Linked DNA regions of Drosophila melanogaster. The protein of the gene in region 1 interacts with the protein of each later gene in a pairwise test. Each region holds a gene or a part of one and is shown in the gene's direction. Other genes may lie near its edges. The genes, in order: Rab6 and Evi5.

Region 1 (15,932 bases):
GGACGTGCCAACTGCATATACCACACCCCCCCCCCCTACGGTAATGCATCACAGAATTGAACAACAAGAACAGCTACGTAGAAAAAAAAAGCGTGAAAAAGAGGCGACAGGAAAAACGGTTTGAGGAAAACACTTATTAAATTTTAGCATGCCCAAAGTGTGGAAAGAGCTGGCGGCGAGGCCACAAAGAACCGCAACAACGACCCCAAGAACGAACCAAGAATTCCCAATGATGCATTCCTGGAGTTTTCCGCAAGTTCACATACCTGTCCAGTCTGAGGTTTTCCTATATCCACTCTAACTGTGGGGCACAAAAACAAAAAAGCATTGAATATAACTCCACAGCTTAGTTTATTATTGATTTGTTTGTTTGCTTATGCTTGCACTTCACCACTGCCACTCAAGGGTTCGATCATCGTTGACCACAAGAAGTGTCTTCTAGTCTTTGAGTCTTCGAAGAAGAGTCATTTATTGTGTTTTTTTTTTATTATTATTTTTATATCCACCTTGCGCGTATGGTTTTCTCGTTCTGAACGCGTCGCGTGCTGTTTTCAAACTGAGGCTCAGCAACAAGTTCGAGTTGCTTTTAAGAAAAGCATTCGGAAGAAAGTTGTCTGCATACTGAATTCTTTTTCTGTTCGAGCGCGCCAAAGATTCTCGTTCGAAAGCTGCAGCGAAAGAGATATATTCTCTCGAGAGAAAGAGAGCATCTGCTAAGAGAGTCTTCTCCATTCCACCGAAGGGAGATTAATTGCTGGTTGTACTGCCGATAAGCATGAAATGTCGCTTGTCCGCAGTTTGTTGGCCAATTAAAAATTAGATTTCGCTTTAGATTTTGTCCATAAGATTGGCCAAAGTTCGCGGAACGATTGCAAAGATAAAAGTTCGGACGGGCTATTTTTTTGAAAAATAAAAACCTTCAATAGTTTATTTAAAGAGTTGAATGAACTAGAAAGTGACAAGCTGCCTTCATTGACACCACACATAATTGTCCGTGACATGTGATTAAAATAATGGTGTAACTTTTGCGGGGCTTTACTTTCAACTTCATGTACACAAAATTATACCTAGCATAATGCAAATATGAATATTATTTGTTAAGACAAGAATTTATTTGTTCACACATATTTTGTATATTTTACACTATTTACTATTTTTTCAAACACATTAGTCACTTTATTTGAATCAACAATGCAATCTATACCTCTTATTTATGGCCCAATCATATCTAACTCATTTCAATAATCCGTTCTTCCCTTTACCAATTATAAAACCATTCGCAGTCTTTCCGACCGCAGAATCCCGACATGAAAAAATATAATAATATATACTTGCGTGTGTATATACACAAAAGACCATAAAGCACAGACATTCATTCCGATGCCAAATGCCGACGCCAATAAAGCCCCCAAGTAAATAATTCCAGGCATTACTCCATTACTCATAATGGCGCAGCCAAATGTCGCGGTCGCATCCTCATCCTCATCCTCGTCGGCGGAGGAACGCAGCAAACGATTGAGGGAGCAGGGATCTGGAGACTGGCGACGGAGGAGCAGCCGCCCATGTTGTTCGCCAGGTTGCATAAATCTGTTCGATTCATAACACAAAGATTGCGAAGGAAGCACAGTGATCTGGCCTTGCCTCAACTTTGCTCAGATGAATTTCTTTTGTTCAGAACGGAGATGACATCGTGAATGCAACATAAGTTTGTATTCACTTTTATAAACTAAAAACTCTTTTTAAACTTATACTAAACAAATTTTTTGAGTTTTAAAACTTGTTCTTCATAATATGCTGCAAATGATCGCAATTGATTACTCTCTATAAGAAATGCAACTTCCACTTTTTCGAAATTCGGGTGGACTCACTGCGGCATCTCTGGTTCCCGCATGGTGACTCCTTTATCAGCCTTGTCTTCATCGATCGCGTCGGAGATTTTGTCCGTCTGATGGAGGCGGGGGTCCGTCGGTGGGTCTGTTCTGGTGGACTCCCCTGTCCATTCCCGTTGAGTCGTCGCTTTGTCTTGACTCCTTGGCCAGGCAGCTTGACTGGGACTTGGAGGCGTGTTTGGTTGGGGGAATGGAAACAGAATAATATAGAATGAAATATTTATCGCCATTAGAGCCTGATTAGCTGCGGGCGTGTTCTGGCCATCGTTCTTTGGGCCACGTTCCGCGCTCTTGGCCGCCTTGCTTGCGAAGCTCTTTTGGAGGCACTTAATAAGCTTTGCTGGTGTGATTGTGATGGGAAATTGATATGTCCATTCAATTATGTACTGGTCGTGTCAATAAACTGATTGCGATCGTGTCCAGCAACTTACCGAGCAATTAGTTTCCCAATAAGAACATTCCGATCAATATGATTGATAAAAACAGCGATTGAAGAGGAGTGTCTGGGATGAAATGAAATCTGGACGTGCTGACACCAAAAGTGAGACGGATTCAAAAGCAAAACTCATTCCAAGTGCTAAGTTCCCTGGGGAGTATAGTGCTCAGAATAGTTGTGCAATAGAAAAATGGAAAGTTAATCCGGATATTTCTTGGTAAAGATAACATCTTGTTGACATTACCCTTTTTTGGTTTATATTCAGTTTTTTATAACAAAAGAAAAGATAAAGCTTATTTTTATATCTTTATTTTTGCTACTTCTTGGAAAGCTTTATCTAGTTAAAATTGGGTTCACATATAAGTTGGATATCTAAAACATTTATAGTCTTATCTGATTTACTTTGTTATAAAATATATATATACATTGGTTACCATCTTCTTAAACTAGCTCTATTTATTTATTAGATAAGATAATTCGACATATAACAAAATGTATATAAATGCTTTTAAGTTCTTTCAAAGATACATTACAATCAATTAATGCATGATTTTAAAGACTCTAAAAGTTGTCATTTATAATAAGCACGTGATACTGCAATCTCATAAGTATTTCTTTATTCAGATACTATCTTATACTCCAGAATTCATTTCTTTTGGTTGGCTGCTATCCATGTTATGAACGAGGAGACCTGGACATACACCGACGGAGAGTTGGGCTGACCACATGGAAGTTTTCCCCAAGACACGATGCCGATTAGAACGTTTCCCTGGACCAGCGGACCACCGGAGTCCGAGGTGCAAAAGCTGGTGCCGCCGGTGAGAGGACCTGTGCACAGGTTCGTGGTGTGCACATCCTGACCCTTAGAGCCAAGTGCCGCAGCGCAGGAGTCGAGGCTTATGATGGGTATGTTCTTCGCCTCCTGGAGGGTTTTCGGATATGAGGGGCTATTCGTTTTGCTAGTACTGCCCCAGCCAAAGAGGTCAGCCTTTCCAGTTGGCCTCACGCCGGACGATGGCAGCTTCACCGGAGCCACTGCAGCGGTCCAAGTGAAGGCGGTGGGCGTGTAAATCAATCCGATGTCATAGGGCACAGTTCCGCCGGTATAAAGATCATTGATCACATAGTGGGTGATTTGCCTCTTCTGTGTTGTGCTCGCTGTTCCGGCCACCGCAATGCTTCCAGCCACCAGGGTGCTTCCAAGTACTTGATTCCTATTGGCCAGGCAGTGAGCAGCCGTTACCAGCCAGTTGGAATTAATGATGTTAGCGGCGCAATAGTGAGTTCCTCCGTACTGCATGGACACTATATACGGAGCACTATTGGCCGCCGCCGCTTTTCCACCCACAACGCGTCCTTCGGGTTGGTCCAAGGCTAATCCAGATCCTTGGGAAACGCACACCGCCAGCAGGAGGATAGTGGCCAGGTGGCGATGGCGCCACATGGTTTGTTGTCCATTCGCAATCATGGTTTTCACAGAACTGTTTACATTGGCACTATCGACGGCTTTTTAAATTAATTCGTGATAAAAAATTTCATGCGAGCCAACCGAGAATATGATAAGAACTTTCAATCAGAGCCCTTGTCTTTCAGATAAGAGCCTATTATAACTTAAGATTATACGATTTTATATATATATATTTCTCTCTTGTTATGATAGACTCAGTCAACAATGAGAATAGATGCAAAAGGGTGTTGAGGGCAATATCTCAAGTTTGTCATTCTGTATTTTCGAGGGGATCCCCGTCCATTGATAAGGAAAATATTATAAATATAATATCTATAAGACCATTGTTAAAAAGGTTAGTTCTGGTAAGAAATGTTTAGATTTTGAAACCATAGTCTCAACATTATTTACTTAACTCACATATTTCACAATGATTCGGTTCGTTATTCTGTTATTGTGCAATGTAAGAAATTGTTATTTACAGCCCGAAAATATGTGAAGCATATAAATCTGTTCGTTGGTTGCTCACCGTGTTCCTCTCTCTTTACGAGATAAGATAAACTTTAAAAAACAGCTCGTTGTTTGATATAGTAGCTGTGATGCGAAGGAAAGTCCCACATTTAAGTGACCGCCACTAGGGACACACATTTGATTGCTTTTATTGAAAAAATAGGGAAAAACTCGACTATTTAGGACACCTGCTGGTTAGCCGATATCCACGATATAAACGACGAGACCTGCACGTAAACCGACGGTGAGTTGGCCTGACCACAAGGTAACTTGCCCCAGGACACGATGCCAATAAGGACATTGCCCTGGACCAGTGGTCCGCCCGAATCCGAGGTGCAAATGCTAACGCCGCCAGTTAGAGGACCAGTGCACAGATTGGTCGAGTGGACATCGCTGCCCTTGGTGCCCAGGGCGCTTTCGCAGGAGCTCAGCGAAATGATAGGCACATTGGTGGCCACCTGCAGGGTCGACGGATAGGAGGCGGTATTCGTGGTGCTAGTGCTGCCCCATCCGTACAGATTGGCGGTGCCAGTGGGCACCACTCCCGAGGATGGTAGCGTCACTGGGGCAACGGCGGCGCTCCAAACGAAGGCGGTGGGCGTGTAGATCATTCCGATGTCATAGGGCACAGTTCCGCCGGTGTACAAGTCATTGATCACGAAGTACGTGATGCTCCGCGTCTGCGTAGTGCTTGCAGTTCCGTCCACCGCGATGCTTCCGGCCACCAAGGTGCTGCCCAGCACCTGGTTACTATTGGTCAGGCAGTGGGCAGCGGTGACTAGCCAGTTGGCATTCAGAATGCTGGCGGCACAGTAATGGGTGCCACCGTACTGCATGGACACCGCATAGGGAGCACTATTCACCGCTGCCGGAGATCCACCCACGACACGCCCCTCGGGTGCGCCGATAGCCACTCCGGATATTCGGCATATGCCCAGTAGGAGAAGAAGCCCACTGGCCAACGACTTTGTTTGCTGTCCGTTCGCTAACATAGTTTTCGCGGAACTGTTTACATCGACCTTTATCGCGGCACGTTTAAATTAATTCGCCATTCCAAAATTTTGCCAGCGCCAGCAGATAAGGCTTTCAATTAAGGACCGTGTGTTCTTCAGATAACCACTTATTATAATTTGAGATTAAGCGACGCCCGAACAGTGACTCTTTGACAGAAGTACGTCAAGTTCCACCGATAGGATGGGCAAATACCTACGCTCGTTTATCTAAAAACAAGCAAATCACTTTAGAGAGCTTTATATTTGAAAATCGCGTTATCACCTGTTAGTATTTCTTACACTTAGTATTCACTTTTTAATATGAAATAAAAAGTTAAGCAATTACCTTGTACTTCATCAGTATTTAAACATTTTAAGCAGGTAAATTTTAGTTAAAATTATTTAATAACGGTAACGAATATCAATCGATTTTTTTTTAAATCATAAAACATCGATTTAGTACAAATATGCGTTTATCGATAGCGTGGCAGAGAAATTGCTTTTGATTGCCACTCTGGTCACACAGCAACTGACTCAGAAGTTAAAGAAGAAGAAGCAGAGACCGTAATTTTTCCACGACTCAACCTAGCGATTTACCAAGCCATTCGAGCCGCAATTGAGTCTTTAGCCAGACGGAAAGCATTTAGAGCGTGTGTAATAGAGTGCGGCAACTTGAAAGCGGTGCATCCCGAGAAATCGCAGTGCGAAAGGGCCCCGAAAACCGCTGGCCCAGCCCCATTATAAACAGTGAGGAGGGGTGGAGATTGGTGAGAGCGGAGCGGAGCGAGAAGAGAGTTCAGCAAACCCGTAATTAAGAAAAAGTAGACACGTACGTTGAGGAAGATGTCATCCGGAGATTTTGGCAATCCGCTGCGGAAGTTCAAGCTCGTCTTCCTCGGCGAGCAGAGTGTGGGCAAGACCTCGCTGATTACGCGCTTCATGTACGACAGCTTCGACAACACGTACCAGGCGACGATCGGAATTGATTTCCTATCGAAGACCATGTACCTGGAGGATCGCACTGTGCGCCTGCAGCTGTGGGATACGGCGGGACAGGAGCGATTCCGCTCGCTGATACCCTCGTACATACGCGACTCCACGGTGGCAGTGGTCGTTTACGATATCACCAACACCAACTCGTTCCACCAGACCTCCAAGTGGATCGATGACGTGCGCACGGAGCGGGGTAGCGACGTCATCATCATGCTGGTGGGCAACAAGACGGATCTCTCCGACAAGCGTCAGGTGTCCACCGAGGAGGGTGAGCGCAAGGCGAAGGAGCTTAACGTGATGTTCATCGAGACAAGCGCCAAGGCCGGCTACAATGTGAAGCAATTGTTCCGACGGGTGGCCGCGGCACTGCCCGGCATGGATTCCACGGAGAACAAGCCCTCCGAGGACATGCAGGAGGTTGTGCTAAAGGACTCACCCAACGAGACAAAGGATCCCGAGGGCGGCTGCGCCTGCTAGAACCGGTTGAGCCGACGATCCAACCATCCTCTCCCCCTTTTTCAACAGCAGGAGCAGATGCAGATGCAGGAGATCGGCCAGCAGCACTGGTGTACACAGGTGTCAGGTGTATGTACTGGCCGGATCTGCGGCGGATTCCTCAACATCTATACACACATACACACTTTACGTTTAAGTTTATTTATAAAGTAACAAATGATAGCAAAGGCAAATAGACTAAACAACAATTAACGAAATCGGCTAACTAATTACTGTTAATTGACGAGCTAATCCCGAGCGCAGGCGAGTGCGAATGCTAACTCATTGACACGAGATCAGGGATCAAGATCAGAGTAATATTTGCGAGTTAGCTACCAGACAAGAATATAGTGTAGTGCATTTCCGATACCCCCTAAACCCTCTAAACGAAAAAAAACCCAAGACCATGTACTTATGTCAGGCCAGGCGGTCCCAGGATCCTCCGACATTCCAGCTCTCGGCATCTCCAGCAGTCGTAGATACCACGCAGCCAGTCTGTGTTCAATGATTCCACCAGCCAGGCATTTTGTTTCCAATTTTAGCCCCCGTTCTGTTCTGTTTGCGGCTTTTGTTTCGCCAGTTTTGGTTAGGATTTCGGTTTTTTTTTTAGCACAGCGAACGCGACTGCTAACTGGAACTGTGGATGGCATAGGACTTGGCCACGTGCATCTTATGAATAAATATACACAAATATAAAATATGTATTTTTATGACTAAAACTGAAACAGATAAGCAGAGCACGAGCAGAGCAAACACTTAACAATATTATTAACGATTTTTGCTTCGATTAGCGAGAGAACTTTGTGCATTTTTTACGCGAAAAGCAAAAGCTTACAAAATTGATAATTGAATAAAAACATAAACTATTGATGCAATTTTTAATAAATCAAATTATGAAAATGAAAAGTATACAAGATACTAGCAATAAATTAATACAAAAAAATAAATTCAAAACATGACTCATACGTTGTGGGTGCACGCACACCTTTCCCAAAAAGTTTTCCGCCAAATGTGGGCCGACTTATCTTATCATTCCAAATCGTTCCTGAATGGACTACAGCGCACCTCTGTGTCGGCATGACTAGTCCTCAATTGCTGACAAATTCCACTGATTCGTCAAGAAACTGGAGTGAAATAGGCGGCTTAAGGTGGATCAGAAAAATACGATTTTTAGTTGGGGAAGCTTAATAATCGTATATTGAATCGAATTGCTTTTATTTGATTGCATGCTCTTCTCTTCTATTTGAAACACCTTAAAATGTGTTTGGATTTGGTTTTTTATTTGTGAATTCCGGTTTCGTAAGCGTAAATACATAGAAAGAACAAAAATGCGTACTTGCTTTGCTATGCAAATGTTAAGTATACTTTTGATAAATAGTTCGAAATAGAGTCTTAGAAGCTGTCCTCGTTGGCGATGAATTCGTCGCGAATCTTTTGCAGCTTTGTGATGAGTTCCGCCACGGAGACCTCGCCGTGCACCTTGTTGTCCCGAGTGCGCACGTTAACGGTATTCGAGGAGCGCTCCTTGTCGCCCACCACCAGAATGAAGTTGAACTGGGCCAACTGAGCATTGCGTATCTTCTTGTTCATCGTGTCGCCGGCATCGCAATCCGCCTCGCTCATGAATCCAGCATCGTGCAACTGATCCCGCACTGACTGGGCGTACTGATCATAGGCAGGACCCACTGGAACGACCATCACCTGGCGCGGTGATAGCCAGAAGGGCCACTTGCCAGCAAAGTTCTCCGTGAGAATGGCAATCATCCGCTCCACTGAGCCAAGAATAGCGCGATGGATGATCACCGGCCTCTTCTTCTCGCCATCGTCGGCGATGTAGCTGAGATTAAAACGAATTGGCAGCTGGAAGTCCAACTGGATGGTGGCGCACTGATGGGCACGCTTCAGTGCATCCATAATGGTAATATCAATCTTCGGTCCGTAGAAGGCGCCATCGCCGGGGTTCTCCTTCCACGGCATTCCAAACTCGTTGAGTGATTCAGCCAGCGCCTTTTCCGCATCATTCCACTGTTCCAACTCGCCAAGGTAATTATCCGGGCGTGTGGACAGCACCAGCTGGAAGGAGAATCCGAAAATGGTATACACATACTTCAGGAACTCCAGGCAGCCCTTCATTTCGCTTTTAATCTGCTCGGGGGCACAGAAGATGTGCGCATCGTCCTGCTGGAAGCGACGCACGCGAGTTAATCCGGTTAAAGCACCGGAGAGCTCGTTGCGATGAAGCACACCGAAGTCGGCCATTCGCAGTGGCAGCTCTCGCCAGGATCGATTGCGGTTATCGAAGATGAGACAATGTCCTGGACAATTCATGGGCTTGAGGGCGAACTTCTCCTTCTCGGCCTCGAAGGAGAACATGTTCTCGGCATAGTGCTGCCAGTGGCCGGAGGTCATCCACAACTTAGCGTTGTAGATGTTGGGGGAAATGACTTCTTGGAAACCACGCTTTCTATATTCCGCCTTGATGAAGCCCATCAGGGTGTTGTAGATGTGCGCTCCTCGCGGCTGGAAAAAGCATGAGCCAGGCGAAAGTTCATGGAAGAAGAACAGCTCCTGCTCGCGACCGATTTTGCGGTGATCACGCTTAGCCGCCTCCTCCTGAAGTTTCTCCCACTCCTTGAGCTGCTTCGGGTCGGGGAACGAGATGCCGTAGACGCGTTGCAGTGTCTCAGCGTCAGCCTTACCCTCCCAGTAGGTAGAGGAGTTCTTGGTGATCTTCAGGGCCTTCACCTTGCCGGTGTGACGAACATGAGGTCCGCGGCAGAGATCGATCAAAGAACCGCACTTGTAGACAGTGGTGCGGTCGGTGGTCACCTTCTCGTTGAGAATGCGCACCTTGAACTCATTGTATTTGAACATCTCCAGCAGGTCGGACTTCTTCATCTCCAGACGTTCGAAGTTCTGCTTCTCCTTGACAATTTGCTTAACCAGACCCTCCATGGCGCCGTAGTCGTTGGTGGAGATCTAATTGGGCGTTCAATTTAATTTAATTCTTACTGAACATCACAAATTACTTACACCCTCGCCCTCCAGATGCATGTCGTAGTAGAAGCCGTTTTCAATGGGCGGACCGTAGCACAGGTGTCCACCATAGATGCGCTCCATGGCCTCACCCATGATGTGGGCAGAGCTGTGCCAGAAGACGGCCTGCGCCTCAGGGTCGTCGAACTTGAGAAGCTGCAGGGTGCAGTTTCCCTCGAGCACACGGTCCAAATCCCACACCTCGCCGTTCACCTTGGAGATGACGGTGTTGTCAGCGAGACCCTGACTAATGCCGCGGGCCACTTCGTACGGAGTGGTCTCCCAGGAGGTGGCGTCCACCTGCTTGCCATCGGGCAGTGTCACCTTGATGGGCTCACGCTTCTTGGCCGCCAGTTCGGCCTCGTATTCCGCCTTGCACTTCTCCCAGAAGACATTGCGCTCCTCGATGTACTTGGGCAAGGGACTGAGTTCTGAAATCAATATAGCAGAGATCAGTGGAATTTCAGGTATTAGAGAGAAGAAGGCAGCTAATCTTAAAGATATGCTACATATCTTACAGACGGAAGTGCGTTTTGTGTTTTTAATTCTTAGTTAGAATTACTTACCCTTGCGAGTATCTCCACCGCCGGATGGCTTCTCCTTTTTCTCCTTCTTCATCTTGGCAGCCTGCAAATCCATCGGAAATAGGTTAAAAATCAATATAAACCGGAGATATTCAAGTGGCCACAAGTGTGCTACGTATGCAATTAGACAAATGCTCTTTTTCGGTATCTACTTTCGACTGATGTTTTCTTATTGTTTAAACAATTGGGGACATGGCAATGAGCACTTTTCGGTGCTATGTTTTCGGTGCTCCTATCTCTGTTTTATCGAGCCGTCTTTGAGCGTATCTTCGTCGTTTTATGGCTGATGCAATAGAGTAGCAAAAAAAAACAGACACTCATGAAGTTGGTTGGTTGTTAGTGACGTCACAGCCGGCGGCACTGATTCATTGGAGAATCGCATACACTCACACAGACAAGCATAACATTTACACGTGCCAGCAGTAACAGGCGTTTAAATTGAAGTTTAGGTCAATTCTTTTTAGCTTAAAACACCAACCAAAGTTGCGTAGCTGTGTTGTTGTTGTTCTTTCAATTGTGGTTGCTGTTGTTGTTGTTGTTTTGGTGGCTTCGACTGCGTCTGAATTTTCGGCAAAATCCACTGGCAAATGCGGCTTATTTGGCTATAATATCTGCCGCCCTGCGGCGCCAACTTCAACATAATTCGGCTAACTAGCACTTCTCATACACTCGAATGCAGTTCGAAAAGAGTTTAACATGCCTTTTGATTGTTCAAATCCAAGTTATTTAGTTCCGTCACCACGTTGTCGCCCATTTTTTACGAAACAAATTTATCAAAAAGGGGCACAGTGTTACCAGGTGGCAAAATAACAGAGACATGGGAACCTTACAAAATGCAATGCTAGCATCAGTTCAAAATGCAACATTCGTACCAAGCAATATAGTAGTATACATTTTAAAGGTTTCTAGCGGCGGAAAACAAATGTTTCCCAATAATGTTAAAACTAATATAAAAGTCAGTTGATAAACCTTTTTTTTTTAGTTTGCTTATGCCACGAGATTTCTAGTATATTTAAGTTAAGCTAAATGATACCTCGGTTTCAACAATTGACCTTCCAACAAATTAAATATATATATTTTTTCTTTAATACTTCTTGACTTAAATCTTAAATCACCCCTCGCTGAGAAAAGTCTTAATTACCAGTATGTGTTGGCAACACTGCGCGCCCAACTGCGAAAATAACGGTCAGCTGTTGATTTGTTTGGCGCCAAGTCGAGTTCGAAAGTGGCCCCAATTCGAGTCCTGCGATTCGGGACAAATATTGATTTTCTCACAGTGCTGACATAATTTCCTCGCCATCGAGTGCAGTCGTGTTTACCTAGCATTCCACGCCTAAGATTGGCCAAACAGAGTACAAATTTCGGTCGGAGCGTAACGGAAAAAGGCGACAAGATTGCACACCTACTGGAAAACCCCCTGCATCAAGGCAACGGTGGAACGGCGGACCGTCTGGGCGTGGACTTCGAGTTCTACATGGCCTCGAAGGTGCATCCAAGTCCGGGGGCGGCGCGCAGTGTGTGGGCGTTGCCCCTAACCGCCTCCTCCTCCTGCAACATGGTCGTCGCGGAGGAGGATGGCCATGCCCACGCCGACGACATCCATTTGGATCATCGACCGCATTCGCCGCCATTAACGGGTCGCGGCACGGACGGTGGACACGGCAGTAGCGGCGTCGAGGACCACGAAAATGTGCTCCTCTTTGAGGGGCTCGATGGTGCCACCACCGTGAGTTTGGACGACATCTTCGATATTATCAAGAACGGAGAGGTCAGCGAGGTGGAGAATCTCGTGGACAAGTTCGGCATGGAGTGTCTGTCGGCCAGGGATCGTCATGGCTACACGCCAGCCCACTGGATAGCTCTCAACGGCAATGTCCAGCTGATGCGATACCTCATCGAACGCACGGCTCCGATCGATCTGCCCTGTTTGGGTACGCAGGGTCCACGGCCCATTCACTGGGCGTGCAGGAAGGGTCATGCGTCCGTGGTGCAGGTCCTCCTCCAGGCTGGAGTTGCCGTCAATGCGGCGGACTTCAAGGGACTTACACCCCTCCATCTCGCCTGCATGTACGGCCGTACTGCAACGGCGGCCTATCTTCTTGGAATGGGAGCGCTGAACAACCTAACTGACATAAACGGCGATACGGCACTCCACTGGGCAGCGTACAAGGGACATGCCGATCTTATGCGACTCCTCATGTATTCCGGCGTTGAGCTTCAAAAGACGGACAACTTTGGATCGACTCCACTGCATCTGGCTTGCCTGTCTGGTAACATGACGTGCGTTCGCCTGCTGTGCGAGAAGTCCCAGCTGGATCTGGAACCGAGGGACAAGAATGGAAAGACGCCGATCATGTTGGCACAGGCTCATCAGCACCAGGATGTGGTGCGCCTGCTGTACGGCGAGGTGAAGAAGAAGTCCCGTTGGATTCCCTCAGTCTCGGAAAGTTGGGGCTGGCTCTTTGGCGGAGCTGGAGACTCCAAGGGACCGCTGTTTCTATTTCTCTTCTCTGTGCTACTTTGGGGCTATCCCATGTACATGATCCGTGCGATTCCCATTACGTGGAACATATTGAGACGCTCGCACTATTGCTTTATATACTGGAACGCCGTAATGTGGATAAGCTGGGCCATTGCCAATCGCCGGGATCCGGGGTATATACCACTCAGTTCGGATGCCTACTACCGGGCCATCAAGCAGATTCCGTACTTCGACAAACTGAAGAAGCGAAATGTGATGCTAACCCGACTATGTCACAGCTGCAGGTGCCTCCGGCCGCTGCGAGCCAAACACTGCCGCGTGTGCAACCGGTGTGTCTCGTACTTTGACCACCACTGTCCCTTTATCTACAACTGCGTGGGACTGAGGAACAGAATGTGGTTCTTCCTGTTCGTCCTCTCGGTGGCCGTCAACTGCTCGTTCACCATCTACTTTGCCTGCTATTGCGTGATGATCGAGGGCTTCACGATGCTCTATGTGCTGGGACTCATCGAGGCGGTTGTGTTCTGCGGCTTGGGTTGGATACTCACATGCACTTCGGTAAGTGCTTCTTTTCCAAAAATATTAATCGTTTTGACATCATTTGCACTGGCAGATCCTGCACGCCTGCATGAATCTCACCACAAACGAGATGTTTAACTACAAGCGTTATCCTTACTTGCGGGACAAACGCGGACGATATCAGAATCCCTTCTCGCGTGGTCCCATCCTGAATTTACTCGAATTCTTTGTCTGCCTGCCGGACCGGGGCGATGACAACGATCTCCTGCTGGAGGATAACATTTGATTAAGGATCTAGGATCGAGCCCCTGCTCGCCGGCGCAAGCTGCCCGTGCGTGGATAATGTTGCGAGGAGGCAGCCAGAGACCCACTCGGGTAGGCTGCCAGTTTGGTTTTGCTCCGCAGGCTTACTGCTTACTCGAATGCTTTAAAGTTCGAACCAAAGGTCGTCAAGTGCGTGTTTTATCATTTACAATTGCAATCAACATATCCTTGCGGAAGGACAAATCGATAGCAAATTCCAAGTGCAATTCAGAGCATCAATAAATTACATTGCTAAGATTCCATTATTGTTAACGGCTCCAAATCAATTCCTTCCGCAATGGTGTTCAAAGCATCGGCCAGCCGTGCTTTTTGCTTTTTTTAACTAACTAATTACCTTTTAGGCTTGGATAAGAATACGCTTCTCTTGTTAGTTTTTGTACAAAATTGTTATGTATAAAATGTGTTATTTAATGATCTCTATATATTATATACCTATTATAATCATAAATGGTGTAAAGTTCACTAAATGGCTAGGCAGCGGTTAGTCACTTGGACGTGACCGTCACCAGTTTGTTCATTTTGTGTTCGGGGAATTGCACAAGTAATACTAGTAGAAGATCAGATCGGAGAATACGATTATGTTGTGTGTACACTTTGGCATGTATCTTGGGTGATGGGGGAGTCTAGAATGAATCGAATAATTCGTGAAGTAATTGTGCTCGTTATGCTTAGCTCTCAAAGCAAAAATCATAGTTTTCGGGATCCTCCGGTATTGGCGGTGGGTCCTTGCTGATGTCCACACCTTCCGTGTCCAGCAGGCGCAATTTGATCTCCATCGACAGCAGAGTGTCGAAGTCCTCGTTCTTTTGCTTGCTGACCATCGGTTGACCCAGCAGCGCGTTTATTCCATCCGTCCAGTAGTTGAATATGCTTTCGTCGGGTGCCACAAAGTCCAACGTAGAGTGCTCCATGTTTTCGAAGGTGATGGAAAAGGCCAGGTTTACCGCCGATTTCCGAATGCGAGTTTCCTTCATATGCGGGCATTCCTTGCCCTCTAGCAATTGCTTAATCTCACTGATGGGCAGTTTCTTGGGCAACTCCTCCATGGTGGGTATTGTCTTCTCGTCGCAATCTCCGTAATGAATCACCTTGTGATTCGGCGAAAGACGAGCGTACCAGAACTTGTCCTTTGTTCGAGTGCCTCGCAAGTATTTTGCAAAATGTGTACCTATAAGTGCAAGATTTATCCATGTTAAGATTGCCCTTGAAATGTATTTATTAGAAATTGTACCTTCCACCAGAAAAGAGAGCCGTTGCTGCTTGATTAGCTCAAGAATTTGCGGTGATATCTTCTCTTTGAGCTTAACAATCGCCGAAGCTGTGGAATCACACTCCTCCTTCGAAGTGCGCTCCTGCTGGCGCAGTGTTGTGATCTGCTGATAGGTCAACAAAGCGATCTTGTTTCGGAAATCGTCCAGGTTCTCGGGTCTGCCCTTTAGAGTGCGCTGGATCTGCTCCCGCACCACGCTGAAGGTTGTGCTGAAGTCCTCGGCAGTGGCACGCATATCCTTCCATGTGCGATTCAGCGTAATGACGCATATGCAAAAGAATTCCTCGAACGGCGAATCGTGCGTAAAGAACATGGGCTGAAAGTCACCGGATTGCTCGGCTGGTGGCTCGCCGATGCGAAGGATGTCACATAGCACCTTGACCAATTCGATGGAGGTGCGTCCGAAGGGACACTCGTGCTCATCCGCACGGCAGGAGTTCTCCCTGACGATCTTCGCATACTGTTGCGTGTAGTTGCGTGCAAAATACACCATGCAATCCAACGCTAATATACCTGAGAAATACGTTTCGGATTATCAACCAAAATAGCTTTAATATAAGAACATATTCTTACCCGGCGGCGTCTCAATGAAATCCTGGGCAGGGTTAATATCGCACTTGAAGCCCAGCTTTTTGTAGTACTGCGAGAAGTTGACATTGCCAGCTCCGGAGCCACCGCCACGACGGATGTGATCGTCGTTTTGATTCAAAGCGTTGGTATTATCGTCGAAGGCAATGCGCCGCAGCTCCTTGATCTTCTCGTGCGCGTCCTGGTCCTGCGCGTTCATCTTCATACGCATGCGCTTCTCCAACAGGCCGAGAGTCAACGTTTGCAGCACGTACAGCTGGTGGGTCATCTCTGTGCCCAGTCCATTGCCGATAAGGGCCAGGCGGAACTGCTTGGCACTAATAGTTTGAGCAATGGTCCTGCGGCGGCCCTCGTCTGCTTTGACGAA
Region 2 (16,599 bases), on another chromosome or scaffold:
CACGACACTTGGCCATATGTCAAGTCGTGGGACACAGCAATTAGGACTCCTGGCTGCTTCAGCTCCAACCTTTGCCTTGGATTAACTGCAGCCAGTTGTAGTTTGCAGTCGTGGACAACTGACGGCATCAGTTCCAAATACACATATGTACATATATATACAAGTATATATGTATCTAGAACTTGGCCAAGAGCTGAAACCACGACGTCATTGGCGAAAATGTAAATGTTTAGACAAGGCCAAAAAGGCCTGGACGTGGTCCACATGATGCACTGCCTCCTGCTCCGCCAGCCAGACAGATTTGGGCGTCTGGATATGTGGCGATATATGTGTGCAGTGGCAATTAGGGGAGGCGGGGCACTTAAATGTACAAAATAGTTTTATGACTTAATTTTGGTCTAATTTTTACTATTTCCCACTGCAATAAATTTGCGCTCTGTTTGGGTTATTGTTTTTAATCGCATTGGTACAGTGCACGATCGTTGGATTCATAATTTTTTATATATGCAACATTTATTTGAAGGAAGGATATAGTGACTTAAATTTGTTGGCTTAAAAATGCATTAGAGGGATATTAAATATTTTCTTTTTAGGCCAAGTTAAATCCCCTGCTCGATTGGCCACTGTATTTATGTGTGTTTTGCATTTCTTTCTTGCTCCAAACAATTTGAACGCTAGCCATTTTTCGGCTTTTCGCCCAACAACACAAATCATTTTGCATGTTCGCGGCAGCCGCAAAAGGCGAGCCAAAGGTAGGGGGGGATGGAAAAACAAAAATAAATAAATAAAAACATATTGAAAATAATTAAATATTTGCCTAGTTATGTTCGGGTCTGCTGGGCACCGAACTGGGCACACACGTTGCCCCCCACCATCGCTTACCAATCCGCCCACGCCGCAGTAAATGGACAGGGAGACGAGCAGTCCGATGTGATTGAGCGCCGACTTCCACTTCATCGACTGCCAGCAGGCGGTGCTCCTTCGTCCGCCGGCGGTTCCCTTGGCCAAGCCACCACCCTCGGCGGCATCCACACGACGGTCGAGATGCTTGAGCTTCTCCAGCAGCTCGGTGCTGGCCTCATCCTGCGAATCGTACTCCTTCACCGTCACCTTCTTCATGGGCATTCTGCACTCCGTTTCTGATTGTTTTGGCCGGCCTATGCCTAAATTACTTGTGCTATCATTTAATAGTGTGTTTTTTTCTTTCTTTTGTTTATATCTATTTAATTTCTTTCTTTATTTTCTTTTTGGTTTTCAGGGGCCCGGCCCGCTTTGGTCCTGTGAGTTCAACATTTCGGGGGCACGTCTCACGCAAAGGGGCAACTTTTGAAATAGTTCGCACTCGCGCCAAACGATCTGGAATTTTGACGCGGCCCCAGAATCCCGAGGAGAACCAACCGTCAACAAGTCAAAGTTGCGACTGTTTTGCTTTTGGCGCTGCATTGGATACGCGGGGCTCTGCATGAAAGGTGGCCACCTTTGGGGGCAAGCGTGTGGCAACATGTGGCAACGTTGGCCGCGAAACTGAACGAACGTAAAATCGTTGCATAAATTCGAAATAATACTTATTATAATAAGAATATATAAGAACGGAAACGCTGAGCGATGGTTGCTTGTGTATAGAAACATTTTATTATATTAATTATATAATAGAACATTAATAAAAACGAGCTTAAGTTATCCTGTGATTGATAAATATATCAGAAAGTTAAGTGTGTGTTGTTCATAAAGCAAGATAACATCTTTCCATTTATCTATTCAAATTAGTCACAAAAAAATCTCTTTCTAGCACATTAAATTTATTCAATCTGTATAAATTAACTGTAGAATATTCTGTGAAAAAAAAAACATGTTAGGTAATAAAAATAACATCATTTTTACATAGCTTAAAATAAACGGTACAAGACTTTTCACAATATGGCAACGTCAATGTTCGAATGTGGCAACATCTTCAAATGGCGGCAAATTTCGAAAAAGTTTCTCAGCCAATCCCATTGAAAACTGGCAACATATTTTATCCATTTTTAATCTGTTTTCTTTTTACATACATACATTTTATGATGATGATGTACATTAATACATTGAACTTACAGTACATTTAAGACGATCCATACTTAAATATATATATTTATATTTATATATGTGCATGAACGCAAGTGTTTCTTAAATCTAAGTTGTCAAAAAAAAAAAGGATGAGAAACGAACAATACGTATTCTTGAAAGTCAAACTAACGTAACGCTCTGTTTAAGTAGCTTAAACATTGAAAATTGATTTTCTGATTCCGCTTAACCGTTAATAATATTAAAATATTAATTTTTACGGTCTATCGCACACATTTGCAAGTTGAGTGAGTGAGCTGTGTTAAATTTTGTCCCTGTTTTGCTGACTAATTTAGCAATCATATAAGTGCAAAATATTAACGTTTGCACCAATAGCTTTCTCTTGCAAAAATACTTTGGTATTTTCAACGTGAGTTTGCATATAAATTGAATATGTCTTTAAAAATAAACGTAAGACTACTTCTTGATCGTAGGGAGAACTAATTATAAATTCAGTTAAATGTACAAATTAATCGGTCCTTAATAAACCTACGTGTGTGCGTGTGAGTTTGTAGCTATGTCTGTGTCTGTGTGTATGCTTCGGTTTCGATCTGTATCTGTCTATCTGTACTTGGTGCGCAATTTGCCAGCTTACTACGATTCTAACGCGGTCATTATTTCGTCCAGTGTACCCCTCGAGATGGCATGGCGGCTGGAGTTCAACTGAAAGTTGGGTTCTAAAAGGCATAAGCAGAGCAAATAGTTATTAGAAGGTGCATTCAAATTAACATTTACGAAAGTATGAAATATAAGCAAGTTCAAATTGCAACTGGAAATTGTGCATTGCCTATACACTTACACTTAATTAAGATACCCAGACTTAGAGAAGACCAGAGAAAGTACAAAAAATGCCTATTAAGTAGTTGTTTTAATGACAAATGTACGCAACGGGCGAATGTTCATTAAATCAATCAATGGAATGCTTGACCAATGACCAAGTGTCACTAGAGCTTTAACGTAAGAGTTTTTGGCCTCACAAAATAGAGAAGTTTCGTGAAAAGCGAGACTACTTGGCAAGAATTAAAGTAGAAAATGACGTACTTTACTGTCTTGAAGACTTAACAGTCCCCACTTGTACTCCCTAAGTATTCATGCTATTATTTGAGATTGCCTTGCGATGGAGGCGATCGTCTGGCACTCACCGGATAGCTGGTCCATGATGACGTCATCTAGCGTGGCCATGGGATCCTCCATGGGCGAGTAGTATGTCGTTGCCGTTGATCTGGATTCGCTGGTGGGTTCACCATTCACTGTCCTGGGCGCCGAGGGCGGGGTCATAAGCTCGGCCGGCAGTTCGGGTGAATCGATGGGATCACCGATGATGGTTGCTGCTGTTTGTTGATCCTCGTCATCGTTCGGCGCTTTGCTTGCTTTCTGCTCTGTTTCCTCAATGGCTTGTCCAGCTAGCAGCTTGGCGTTATCGCTGGCGGACTTAAAGCTGCAATCGGAGTCACCGGAATCGAGGCGACTGCGCGATTTGGGCGTACTCTGGCGGGATGATGGCGTATGCAATTGACGGACATCGTCCAACGACGTCTGGATCTCCAGCACGTCATCTTCGTTATCGTCAGTTGTGGACGGGAGCTGTGGTGGGGTCGGCAAGTCACTGAACTCCTCGGCATGCTCGACCTCGTCCTCTACTTTCTCAACCCTGTCTTCGTTCGTTGGTTTTTCTAAAGATTTGACGGCGTTATCGCTGATTTCAGCTGCATTTTCCTCCAGATTTTTCTCGTCCTCGTCTAGCAAAACTTCTTCTCGAGCATCTTCCGATTTTTCCTCCGAATTGTCAGCCTCTTTTAACTCTGGCATATCTTTTACTACTTTTTTTTCCTTCGCCTCATCTGTATTTTTCTCTGTTGCATCCACAAATTGTTCTTCTCTATCTCTTTCTACTTCATTTGTCTCAGTTTCGTGTGCGTCTCCCTCTCGCTCATTCGTTTCGATTTCCTTCACTGGTGGTTTGATTTCGACATCAGGATCGGAGGATTCAATTTCCACAACTGGTGAGTTTTCCGTTTTTTTCTCCTTTTTCGTTTGCATTTTGTCAGTCGTCTCCTTTTCGTTTAGCATCTTGTCCGTCTTTTTGTTTGATCTTTCTTTTAGGGGTTTTGGCTGCTTTTTTTGTGCATCCTTCTGCTTTTTTAGTACCGGCTTTTCGTCCTCATCATCACTGATGGTCGTGGTGAAGGATATCTTCTTTTTCTTGGGCGGAGGCGTTCCAGATCTCTGGGACCCCGGCACATCGTTGGGCACTGGACGTAAAAATGGAGAGAATTGCATTAGTTTTAGCTCAATTCTTCTTTAATTTGATTTGGTCAAATCCTGTCATAAAAATAACGAAATCATTTAATACAAAATGAGACATGATTAATGCGATTACATCGAGTTTGATGTCAGTTTAATAAGTGCATCCTCCTACCTATATACTCCTCATCGTCATCATCATTATCTCCACCTCCATCAGACCTGGAGGAGCTGTTGTCTATGCTTAGGCGGCCCAACCTGCGTAACTTGAGCCTTCCGACCACAGGCGTACCGTTGCATGAGCGGCGCCTAACCCGCTCGCGCGAGCCTCCAGAAGATGACGAGAAGAGCGGCGTGGAGGTCAGTGCTATGTCCTCCAGCACATTGCCAGTGGCATCCACACGCTGCAGTCGTGTCGGTTTCGGAGCTCCTCTCGATGAAAGCGAACCGAAAGTAGACCGACGTGATGGACCCCCGGGGCTGCCCAGAATCTCGACGGCCTCGCTGAAGGATACCGCCTTCTTGGGATACACCTTCCTGACAACTCCGTCGCCAATGGGAGGCGGTTTGCAGTCAGGCCACTTGGCACTTGGTAAACGCGTCCTCCTCACCTTCACCACACAGCCAAAGAAATGCGCGCCATAACGCTTAACCAAATCCGGATCGGTGTTGCGTCCGCGACTGGATAATCTCTTCGCCTTGATCTTGGGCTTGGGACTTCGCTTCAGTGCGGAGTGTGTGCTTTCAGAACTCTTGGCCAAACTGGGCGGCGGTGTATGAGCGCGCAACGAGTGGTTCAGAGCACGCTTTTTGGCGCCATTCTGCAAAGGAACTTTGATGTGGAAATTGGTCTGCGCTGTTGATGACTTTTGTTTCTTAGGTGACGTTTTTCTCTTTTTGTGCCTGCTACGGCCACTAGTACCGCTCTGGTTAACGATCTCGGGCACATTGATAAATGATGAATTGGCCAAAGATTCGACGGCCGAATCGATTTCTGTCTGTTTCAGGCGACGTAATAGCACCCGCACCTTTCTTTTAACATTCGGCGACTGCTGATCGCTGAACATCTTTTGCTGAGCCTTCGTCTTGGTGGGAACGACCACCATCGATTGCTGGTCCTCCTCGATGGCCTCGCCGTCGTCGTCAATGGACACTTTTGGCCTCTTGTTGTGCGGCGTCGATGCAGAGACAGTGGATTTCCTGCTTTTGTTTGGTTTTGAGTTAGCCACGCTCTTACGCTTCCTCTTGGCCAATGACTCGTCGAGATGGTCGAATGATGTTTCCGAATCAAACAGATCAATGCTGCACTGTTCGACATTCTTTGATTTTCTCGACATGCGCAAGTCATTCTCGTCCAATTGGTTTCCACTCTCCAGGAGGTCTGACAGAAAATGGAAAAAACGATTGGAGGTTATTAAACTTCTAGGATTGCCAGCCAATTTGCAGGCAAACAAAATTATGCTCAATTTACCATTTACGTCGATTGGCGAATCGGGCGGTATGGGCGACGGAGTGGAGAGCTTGGTGTCCACCGGATTAATAGTTTGCGGCGGCGGCGCCGCTTTGACCATATCAAAAATATCCATTATCGCAGGTTTCAGCCCTTTGCGATTTTCCCACGAAAATGAAAATTAGCAAAGAGCGCAGATTTACCGCTTTAAAATATACGGTTAATATGCGCTTACAGATGTGTGTTTTGCGCAATTAGTGAGGCCACTGTACCACGGACTAATTGTGGCGCGAGGAGCACTCGATTTGCCCACTTAATCAGCAGATGCGACTTTTAAAATCGCGTTTGCATTCAGGTAACTTTCCTGATTAATTTTACACACTCCTAAAGACGCCATCTAGCTGGTGTGCCCGTGCGCAGATACCGCGAAAATATTTCACCGCCTCGGCGCATTTTTATGGGTTATTTATGTCGCCAACAATCATTAACCACAAAATGTATTTTAAATTTATCAACAAATAGCCTATTTCCTATCATTAAACGACAAAGATCTTATGGACACTTTTCATCAATGGAATGCTGAACAACAACTTATTACTCTGAGCAACATAACTCCATTAAGATTCATACTTATCTCATATGGTTGAATGTTTCAAAATCATTTACAAACATGTAATAACAGCACTTGCAGCCCACTGTACAGGTTTGAGTCTGTGCTAAACAGCTATCATTGGTATTTTTGGTATTATTCAAATAATCGATAATGCAGTAGAAACTTTTCTATCGGTTATCAGCTATCTGCGCTTCAGAGAATTTTAGTATATGGTAATACTTATTTAGCGGCTTACTTCAGCTTTTGCGCGACGGTCACACCGCCAGTGGGCGAAAAAAAACATTCGTGAATTCACCGTCGTCGAACGAACGCTGTATTTTTTTCCAGTGCAATATTCGGTCGATGTATAACGAGTGATTGAATTAAAGTAGTCCTTTTAAAAAAAGTACTAGTATTTAAATAAAAATAAAGTCATACAGAACAGCATAGGGAGAGAGGGCGAGAGAAAAAATTGCTGCTGCTGAGGTGTGTGCAATTGCCTGTGCGTGTGTGTGTGTGTGTGTTTGTGTGACGTTTACAGCAGCAAAAAGTTCGGTAGTGTCGTCAAAATAATCGTGTATTATAAAGTTAATGCAAACGATTCTCGATCGGATACGAGTTGATCGCGACATATTGAGTTCGTCGAATGTGGAAAAGTCTAGCTGATTGAAAACGAAACGCGGATAAAAAAAAAACGATAAACAACGGCAATTTGTTGCTGCCGCAACAGCAACAACAACAGCAGCAGCGCACTAACGCAACCACCACCACCCCCTGTTCCAGCCTAACGGTTCATTTACAGTGGCCGAAGAAGCAGCAGCAAAGGTGAGGTTCCAGCATCTTTATTTATATTTTATGTGTCGTTCTTCTTCATCATCTTTACTTCTTCCGTAAAAAAACTCAATGTGTGTGTGTAAACATTATCAACGAAAAAAGTGGAGTGGGAAAAAATACAGAAACTTTCTTTCGCTGTCTGTGTGGGTTTATGCTCGCGTGTGTGTGTCTGTTGCTACCTTTTTTTTTTTACAAATTAGCGAAGCAGCAAAAGAAAATCGGGTACAACTAATTTTGTATGCTTAAATTTCGCGCATTAATGTAATTAAAAGCGTCCATTGTCCATTGTTCATCGCTCATTGTCCATCATCATTCATCATCGTTCATCATCGTTCTTTGCAGCTTCGCTGAGCAACAACAACAACAATGACAACAGGGCAGCCCTGCTCTTACTTCCTTTTCCATTTCCATTCCTATTGCCATTCCCATTGCTCATTTCCCATTGCCCGCTTCCCTTTCCCAATTCCTCTTTCCCAATTCGCTTTGCTCTTCCACTCCCACCGCATCAGCTGCTCCTGCCACTAGTTGTTGTTGTTGTTCCTGCTCTGTTGTAACCTTGTCTTGCTCTCCTTTCCTTTGCTTTCCACCCACTTTTCGTGGGCCCAACGCACAGTGGGAAAATTCAGCAATCGAGGGAGGGAAAAACTATTTGCCAGTTATAAAATGGAAATGGAAATCGAAGAATAATGACTCTACGTCCACTCTTCTGTAAACCATTAATTACGACCAATGGCTTAGTAATATTTAAAAATAACATCTAATCTTGTTCTCCAATTTTCACTGTGCATCTCTCCATCTCGCTCTAGCCCGCTCTGCGCCTGCGCATTGCCAACTCGGCGACACCTTGCAAGCAGCGTTGCCACCTTGCACATGGCCTACGTAGACGCAACGAACAGTGGGGGTGAAAAAACTAGCATTAAAAATAGTAAATTGCTAGCTTATTAAGCTTCATTGTTGTTTGTTTAATATGAATACAGTTAATTTAACGCTTTCATTGCATTAAAAACAAACTGGCTGCAGCGAATTTCGTCGAAACTAGCTAAAAGATTGCTGAACTCTTGTTTATCTGCCGGTCGTGATAAGCTTTGTATCCGTATGTAGATTACATATACGTGCAACTGAGGGCTTTCTGCTAAATTATATCGAGATCTTAAAGATGCCCAAAGGCAGACAAGTGCTCAGTTACTTTATACTTTACTTTGCTTTGGAAATGCAGCCATAGTCCTTTGACCTCTGCTGTACCCGACCCATCGCACTCAAGTCTTTTGTTTTTGTTTTTTTTTTTTTGTGCGTGGGGATTGTTGCGTGCTTATTCAAATTTCAGTTGTGCTATTTATTTAAATCACGAGCATTAAAACTAGTGGAGCACATAGAGCAGAAAGTCATCGTCATGTTAATTATGATCATAAATTTGCAGAGCTCGTGGGTGTGTTGGTGTATCATCCGTCATTATCTGGAGAAGGTTGGGGCAGGATAGCCTTCATTCTGCCTTCTCTGGCCAACAAAAAAAAAACATATACATATATAAAAAAAAGATAAATAACAAAAGTCAAGATACTTTTTTTGGGTTATTTCAAACGGAATTCTTTTTGCGTTTAGCGGGTTTTTCAACTATCTGCTCAAGTGTTTTCGCCATGTTTCATTATTTGCATTGTTTTATGATATTTTGGCGGTTGTTTGTTGCTGCTTATTATGTTGCCCATTTCGATCGCGCGAGCTTTCGACCTTCGCCGCAAAGCCGCAAAAAATATATGTCAAAAATAATTTGCACTTGAGTCTGTTTCCCTATCGGCGTTTATTTTGTATTTATGTATGTATACATATTTTTTAACGGATCATACCAAGCGCTTGCCAACACGTTTTCGCGCAACCAAACTAAACGCAAATTAAGTAAGCCAACTGTGAAATTACAGTGATCACTGTGCAAAAAAAGACTCCGAAATAAATGCGATTTTGTTAACATTTTAAGTGCATTTTAAATTATAAAATATATATGTAATTACTTGTTTAAGCGAATACTAACTATTGGAGTCAAGTTCATGATCGAGCTGCCACCTTTCTTTGTGGGGCTCAACGAAAAGTATCTATGTAGCGTGGCTTTACTTTATTGGCATTTCGTTACTTCCTCTGAAATTTGTTTTCGAAAAAAGTTTGACAACCTCATGCCGTCTCTTGCGATTGCGCAGCTACCTTTTGTTAGCCGTCCCTTTCTGGCGAGGCAAAAAGTGCCGTTATGTAAAATCAGAGGCAATAGCTTCCACAACATAAAACCGATATGTATGTATGTTTCGCCAAGAAATATCGAAAATAACAACAATGGGGCTGGGGCATCCAGCATCCACACAGTCGTGGCCAAGCTATTATGGCCACTTGGCCAACTGGAGGCTTACCTGATTTACCTGCCCCAAAGCATAGAAAAGCAGGTAACAACAGAAGCGGTAGTGGCGATACCGATATGTGTGCCAATCTCCAATGCAGACGTGCTGGTATTTCGGGGCACAGTGAATGCCCGATAACTGCGAAATAATTACGATACTTTATTTTTTGTAACAGCTGAACCAGAAATATTGTTTATTGTAATAATTTGTGTACTTTTCGTATTTACAATGATATTCTTCCCTTTGCTTCTGTTAGCCAATAGCCACTGTGAGTTTGGCCAAATTCCAGATTTCAAGCAATGATTTTACAGTTTGGCCAACAATGTCGGTTTGTTTGTTGTTTTCTTCAGCCAGCCAGTTTTCTTTCCTGATTTTTTTGTTTTTGTTTGCCGCTCCCTATATTTTTTTCACTCAGTCATTCAACAGCAATTGCAGACACATATCGTTTTTGCTATTTATTATTGCTGGAAACTGAAGGAGTTTCGTCTGTTTCCATTTCCATTTCCATTTCGATTTCAATTTCAATTTCAGTCTCGGTTTCGAATTCGGTTTCTTGTGGCTGTTGAAATCCAAAACGGCTCGAATATTGCGCTGAAAACACTTTTTATTGAAGCACTTGTGAATGCTACTACTGGGAACTTATTTTAGCCAATGGCAACTGAAACAACAATTGTACGAGTACACTGTAAATGGAGATGTATTATTTCGAATCGTGTTGTAACAATCCCTTTTGGAATTGAACTTGACATTTAAATTGATTGCTAATTGAAATGATTAAGTTAAAAGGTCATTGCTTTTCGTGATCATCTCATTAAGTACTGAAATGAAAAAAAAACAGCTACAATAACAAAATACTTTCTAGATTTGCCATATTACTCTGCGTTATCCCAGCTGTTTTTTTTTTCAAGTGTAACTAGTAGCATACAGCATCATGTGCTGAATGAATTATGTTAATGAGTTTGGAAGTTGGCTGGGGCTGGCCAAAAAAAACTCAGGGGAATTGTATTTCATAATTCCATTTGTCCGCTGCCTTTTCCCCTTTTTTCATATTTTCCGTTTGCTAGACTTTATTTCATCGTGCCGCCCCTTTCAATCCACTCAAATGCACTACAAAAGTTGTTGAAATAGTTCGATTTGCTAATAGTACAAAACAACTAATAAATTAACTGTAAACTATCAATATTTAAATGTATTTCACTTGCAAACTTACCATTAATTCAGTTATTATAAAAGTATATAAGGTATAAGTATAAGTATATATTATAAAAGTATCAAACTAACCCATTTTTTTGACTGCAGCTGTAAATGTCATTTGCGCGATAAAGTTTCATTGTTCTCAAATCTTGAATTGTGCTCGAGCGGAGTGCGTCTTTTGACTGATTGAAGAAATCGTCGAATTCTTATCGTCTGGGCCTCGTACACCCCCCCTGTGGCTTCTATTTCGCCCTTCCTGCTTCTGGTTTTTAATGGGTAACTACGCCCTATCAGTTCCACTGTTGCACTTGTTTTTCACTTGTTTAGAATTCGTGGCGATGGATGGAAAATTGAGTTCGAGTTGGGGCGACACTTGGGTATTATGTATATACATTGCCACATTGGCATTTCCACTAATTGTGGCAAGCAGACAGGTAAATGCATTTTGTAATTGCCACCCAGAGACAGTGAACGCTCCTTAAGTGAAACCATAGCTTTGCCTTTTAAGCTAACATTGTTTCAAAGTAAGAGAATTTTTCAAACCCATGTTTCAACTATTTGACGGTAAAAGTATGTGAATAATTTAAGCAGCTTCCATTATCGAGTGTTTACTGTGACTGACGTCACACCATTGCCAAGGGCTCGATTGGCGTGGGTGGGAGCGAGATAGCCAGCGAGTCAACAATTCAAATTGGGTTAATGAGAGTTGGCCAACTCAGGGCTTGGTTCTATATGTATCGGTGTTGTGTATCTGTATCTGTATCTGTATCCCCGTATCCGTATCTGTATCTATATGTATGTACACACAAGTGGGCGGTGGTTTGGGCGTGTGATTGCGTGGGCGTGGCACTCTTGAATTTTTGATGATTGGGCTTAAATTACATTGGGGACAGCAAGCGAAGCACAACAACTTGCTGTGATATTAGGAAACATTCTTATACGGGCCAGACGTATGATTAGGATTTGCTGCCATCCCATGGGCTTACATCCAACATATCCTTTGAGAAATTTTGTGATACTAGTTGCACTCAATTTGCTTAAAGTCGTCTAACTTGAATAAAAATCTACACTTTCATATTTCAAACCTATATGGAATGAATGAGTTTCTAAGCCAACCAAGCTATGATGTGCTAATAGGCTTATCAGCGCACTGGCTGTTTATATACATATGTGCCTTATAGCCATTGCCGCGAGTGTGCCGAGTGGTACTCTATGGCTTGGGGGCGTGACTCGTTGCATTAAAAGATGCAAATGCATATTGCAGATGCAAATGCAAATGCAAATGCGGCGTGTGTGCGTGCGCAAATTAGCAAGACAACAAATGAACTTCGCTAAATGCTATCGCCCCGGTCACCCATGTATTATTCATTAATGTCCGGCAAAAAAACAGCAACAAAATCACACACAAAAAGCCAAACAAAACAAAAACAAAGTTAAATAAAAACACGAAATAAGCAAATTGTGATTTGTTCGAAAGTGGCAAGAGTAAAAAAAAAGAGACGGACAAAAAATTAGCTAAAGCATTCACCATCAGGTTTCTGACTAATCGCCGCCCCGGTACAGTGGAGTCCATTCAAATGGGTCATACGCACGACAGGCTGTCGGCAAAAGATGTGGAGCAGATGTGACTGCGGTCGCAACAGATGTATAATTTGAGTAAACCGCGGAGATAAAATAAAATAACACTGCCATGAGGCTGGCACAAAAGTTATTATTATAATTTGCGAATATTCAATGCTCTACTTTGGAAAACAAACTTTCCAAATTGGATGTACAATCAAATCTGATACAATTTCTAAATTTCTTTTCTGAATTATTATTTCATATAAGATTTATTGATAGTTAAATATTCTTTCTAATAAATGTTTTTTGAGTCTAAACGAAATTTCCATGGGTAAAAGTAAAAGCAAGGGAATACGAAACACAATTTAAAAACAGATATTTTACAAATCGATAGTGAAAGGGTAAAGCAAAACAAGTTTTGGAAATACCTAATTTACATCCCAAATGCCATGAGTCACAAATAATCTGGCTGAAGAAAAAAAAAAAACTTACCTGCGACAAAGCGAGCGATTGGTTTGAAATACCCCGCGAATCGAATCGAATCAGAAATTGTGATGGTGTTTTTTATACTCTTTGTTTGCCTTTTCCATCTGCGGGCTGCCGACGATTCTAACGGTCGTGCATATATGTATGTATGTATAATGCATATATTTATAATGCCAAAACCATGAGTCGGCTCGGAACTAACGATTCTCATAAAAGCCAACGAAGCCAGCGACTTCAAGCCAAGAAGCTGAAGTAAAAAAAAAAGCGAAATGTGAAGAACTTTTTATGAATGAATTAGACTGGAAATAGTGCAGAAATATCTGCCAGCACACACATGCTACTTCACTCTTCACTCTTAACTCTATGTGCTGGTATATTAATATGTATTTATACGTATATATACATATATACATTTTGCCTGCACTCAAGCTTAAGGCTGTAGAAACTTGAGAGGTCTTAGAACCCACAGTGGGCGTTAATAATTAAGGGGCCCAACTCACAGACCATGCTAGAAATATATGTATGTATATGTATATATGCACAAACTATATGTTGTGTCCTCTGACGTTTAAGCTGAAAAGCTGAAACTTATGGTTTGCTTCTTCTGTCTAATTTAAGATCCATTAATTGATGTCCAGAGGCTACTTTTTGTATTGCCGCCAGCGTAATGTAAACATCTGTTAACAGACTGTGACTACAATTAGTTATCGTTATTCATTCCGCCTATACATGTGGATGTACATATGTATGTATGTACACTTGTCTGCTCGGCATTATTTTCGCTCGTTTTGTTGTTGCTGTCGCAATTATCTTTGCGTTGGATTGATAGTGGCAGTGAAATAATGTCACTGGATTGCCAATTCAGCACAAAAATATACATGCTAGTGGTACAGTGGTCTCCCGCAAAGCACACCGCTTGAATATACAGCAGATAGAATCATATATCGAAGGGTACTATTCGTAATTTACGGTTCCATTACATTTCTGTGTAAGTATATGTAGGTAAACTTGTAGGTTTCATTATGGCCATGTCGCACTGTCACAAAAATTGTACCGCCTAAAAGTATGACTAGTTTGAATGAGCGTAAATCAACACACATACCTATTGATTTTCATTGATCGGAAATCGGGTTAAATTGCTCGTGTCTCTGTGACGTCAAAGCCTTTGACTGTGTCCCACATTTAATAACAAATAACAAATCAAAAACAGTAACTAGCATGGCCTAAAAGTATACCTCAAGTTTGTTTTAGTATTTCAAACCGTTTAACGCTTGTATGTGTATGTGAATGATAAGAGCTAAACTTGTTATCAGTGTATCCGCAGTAGACTTGTCTACATAAGCGCTTTTGAGCCAAATATCAATGAAGAAACCGCTCTGAATGTGTGACACCAGTTCGAGTTCGTTTGGTCTTTGGTCTATCTTCCAGTTTATTACCATTTTCGAATGTCATTTATATCAAAGGGGGTTTATTTGCCCAACTTGTTTGAGTGCCTGTCAAAGATAATCCCACCTGATGTATGCGATAGAAGAGAAAAGGAAAGGCTGTTTAATTACACTGTATTGGGAAAAATGGGTCACTTCTATCACACTTTGTGTTTTCCAATTGACAAAAAGAAAGTTTTGTCTTCTCATGAGCATATTTTTCATAGAATTTCTATATCAAATGGTTAATATTTAATGATGGTGTTTTATTGTATAGCTTGATTAATTAGGTAACTGCATATCTATGAATAACGCTATGATTAGCGTTATATCATCGACACAACTTAACCAACTTGACCTTTAGTGTTACACACGGTTACTAGGTGTTAATTTTCCATTCGGTTGGTTGGGTAACCATAATCCCTTGCTTTTTTTCCCATTCAGTCAGGGTTAATCTGGCCAATCGGTGTTTGTATGAAGTCCCCACTTGAACTTCGACCAGGTGCGTTTCCATTTGCCTTCGTGTTGGTGCTTTCGCAGGCCCAAACTTTGGGGTCCAATATCGATAAAGATCGTCATGCAACCGGATGAGCGGCGAATTCCCGCGTTTTTTTTTTTGTATTTGTGAATTTGCAAAACTAAATATGCAATAGAATCAATCAATCGTTTCCAAGGCAACAAAACACCTGCAAAATACTAGTAGCCCTTGTACCCGCACAATCTTTTTCTACATTTTTTATAGCATTTTGGTTTATTATTTGTCTACGTATGGTTCTTAAAATAATTAACACTATCGACCGATTAAAAAAAAAAAAAATAATAGAAAACAACTTATAACCAACTACTTAAGTGCATAGTGTGAAGTTCCTTTTTTTTTTTTGATGGGCTGATGGAAAAATTACAGATTGCGTTTCAGAGCCATGAGAATGGGTTTTCACTAACAATAGAAACAGAGATAATAGAAATTTTGTGAACTTTACCACCTAATAATGTCAAAATGCGTAAACTTTGGAAAAAGTTCCTAGCAGATATAAAAAAGTTATGAATTTAGTAAGGGTTATTAATTGGAAAGGCAACTTCTTATAAACTAAGTTTGATCTAAAGTAGCTATTGAATGTTGACATTCTTCGAATGTATCTCGTTATGATTAAGGCTTTGCAAAGCACACGGATTTAATATTTCACTACTGCCCACTGGTGGTCATCACATTGATCAGGCCGGGCATAACCTCCGCCTGAATGGGTCCATATTCCACCCGCTCGCCGTCCACCACCAGGATGCCATCGGAGCTGCTCGGCTCGATGCGGAATGCCCGACAAGGCACCACCTTGATGAACGGATCCTCGCCGATGGGCAGATGGGTGCCTGCGTTTAGGTTCAGCATGAAATTGAGCAGCTGATGGCGACTAACGCCTCTCCGGATGATCACCAGGTAGATGAGGCCATCGTCCAGACGGGATTCGGGCGCAAAGAAGACATCGGAGGAGAGATGGGTGGTATAGGCGGCATGGACCATCACAAAGTCACCATCCTCGCAGATCCAACCATCGCTGCTGAGCAGTGGCATCTGTAATGGTGGAATGGTGCCCGTTGGCACCCTCTCAGCGAATTCCGCATTTGCTGCCTCGATCCGCTGGCTAATGCTCATCCGGCTGCGATTGGATCGCATACTGGGTCCGCCCAGGGAGTAATATGCCGTTCGCCTGGACATGGCCGAGTGCCAACTGTCGGCATGCTGGCGGTAAACCGAACGATCCAAAGATATGGCATCGGCGAACTGTTCTCCATCCAAGACCGCCTCCCCCTCCTCCTCCTCGGGTAGATCATGGAATTCCCCGGCATTCAGAGGCAGAGATGAGCGGATTCCTGCAGCCGTTGATTCTGCAGGCAACTCTCGAGCCGCTTCCACTGGTGGTTCCTTCTTGCCCTTGCCCAGTAGATAGGACACTCGGCCTTTGTAGCTGCGCAGCCCGATCAATCGCTTGATGGCCCACAGCGTAAACCTTTGCGCTCCAATCGATCTCAATCGCTCGCTCTCTATATCGATGTCGGCTATCAGACCCCAGCCCACCGACAGGAAGGAGTACATCACAAAGTGCTTGTCCCGCGTCGCCAGCTCCACTCTGACCACATCCATGGGTGTACTTTTGCCCGCCATGCAGGTCAAGGTGGCGTGGAGAATGGGCTTCGGTTCGTACGGTTCATTGCAATGATGGGCCACACTTTTGGCCAGACCATTCCCGGAACCACATGGTATAATGCCAAGCGGTAGCTCCCTGCAGGCTCGGCGCCAATCCATGCGTTCCATTAGCCCATTGAGCACTTCGTAGAATA

Evidence for each region.
Region 2: the proteins of Rab6 (region 1) and Evi5 interact in a two-hybrid assay, tested with the Drosophila melanogaster proteins (2 studies listed by BioGRID).

The regions. Positions count from the first base shown.
Region 1 is NT_033779.5:12,098,985-12,114,916, reverse strand, and holds Rab6 (Rab6), read left to right. Parts: upstream 1-5,800; 5' UTR 5,801-6,117; coding exon 6,118-6,744; 3' UTR 6,745-7,696; downstream 7,697-15,932. Other genes in the region: Phae2 (phaedra 2), read right to left, coding at 2,972-3,769; Phae1 (phaedra 1), read right to left, coding at 4,462-5,274; ThrRS (Threonyl-tRNA synthetase), read right to left, coding at 8,155-9,741, 9,796-10,229, 10,365-10,425, 10,861-11,022; patsas, read left to right, coding at 11,857-13,422, 13,478-13,669; Ced-12, read right to left, coding at 14,376-14,875, 14,939-15,490, 15,551-15,932. UniProt on the Drosophila melanogaster protein: Protein transport. Regulator of membrane traffic from the Golgi apparatus towards the endoplasmic reticulum (ER). Mediates membrane trafficking during egg chamber growth and organization, possibly upstream of exocyst component Sec5.
Region 2 is NC_004354.4:11,444,408-11,461,006, reverse strand, and holds the start of Evi5 (ecotropic viral integration site 5), read left to right. Parts: upstream 1-6,668; 5' UTR 6,669-7,211; intron 7,212-14,994; exon of another isoform or gene 14,995-15,448; coding exon of another isoform or gene 15,449-16,599. Other genes in the region: CG43155 (uncharacterized protein), read right to left, coding at 883-1,125; HP5 (heterochromatin protein 5), read right to left, coding at 2,695-2,777, 3,243-4,352, 4,520-5,725, 5,816-5,930; Sk1 (sphingosine kinase 1), read right to left, coding at 15,449-16,599. UniProt on the Drosophila melanogaster protein: Functions as a GTPase-activating protein (GAP). During border cell migration in the ovary, acts as a GAP for Rab11 and is necessary for the maintenance of active receptor tyrosine kinases at the leading edge.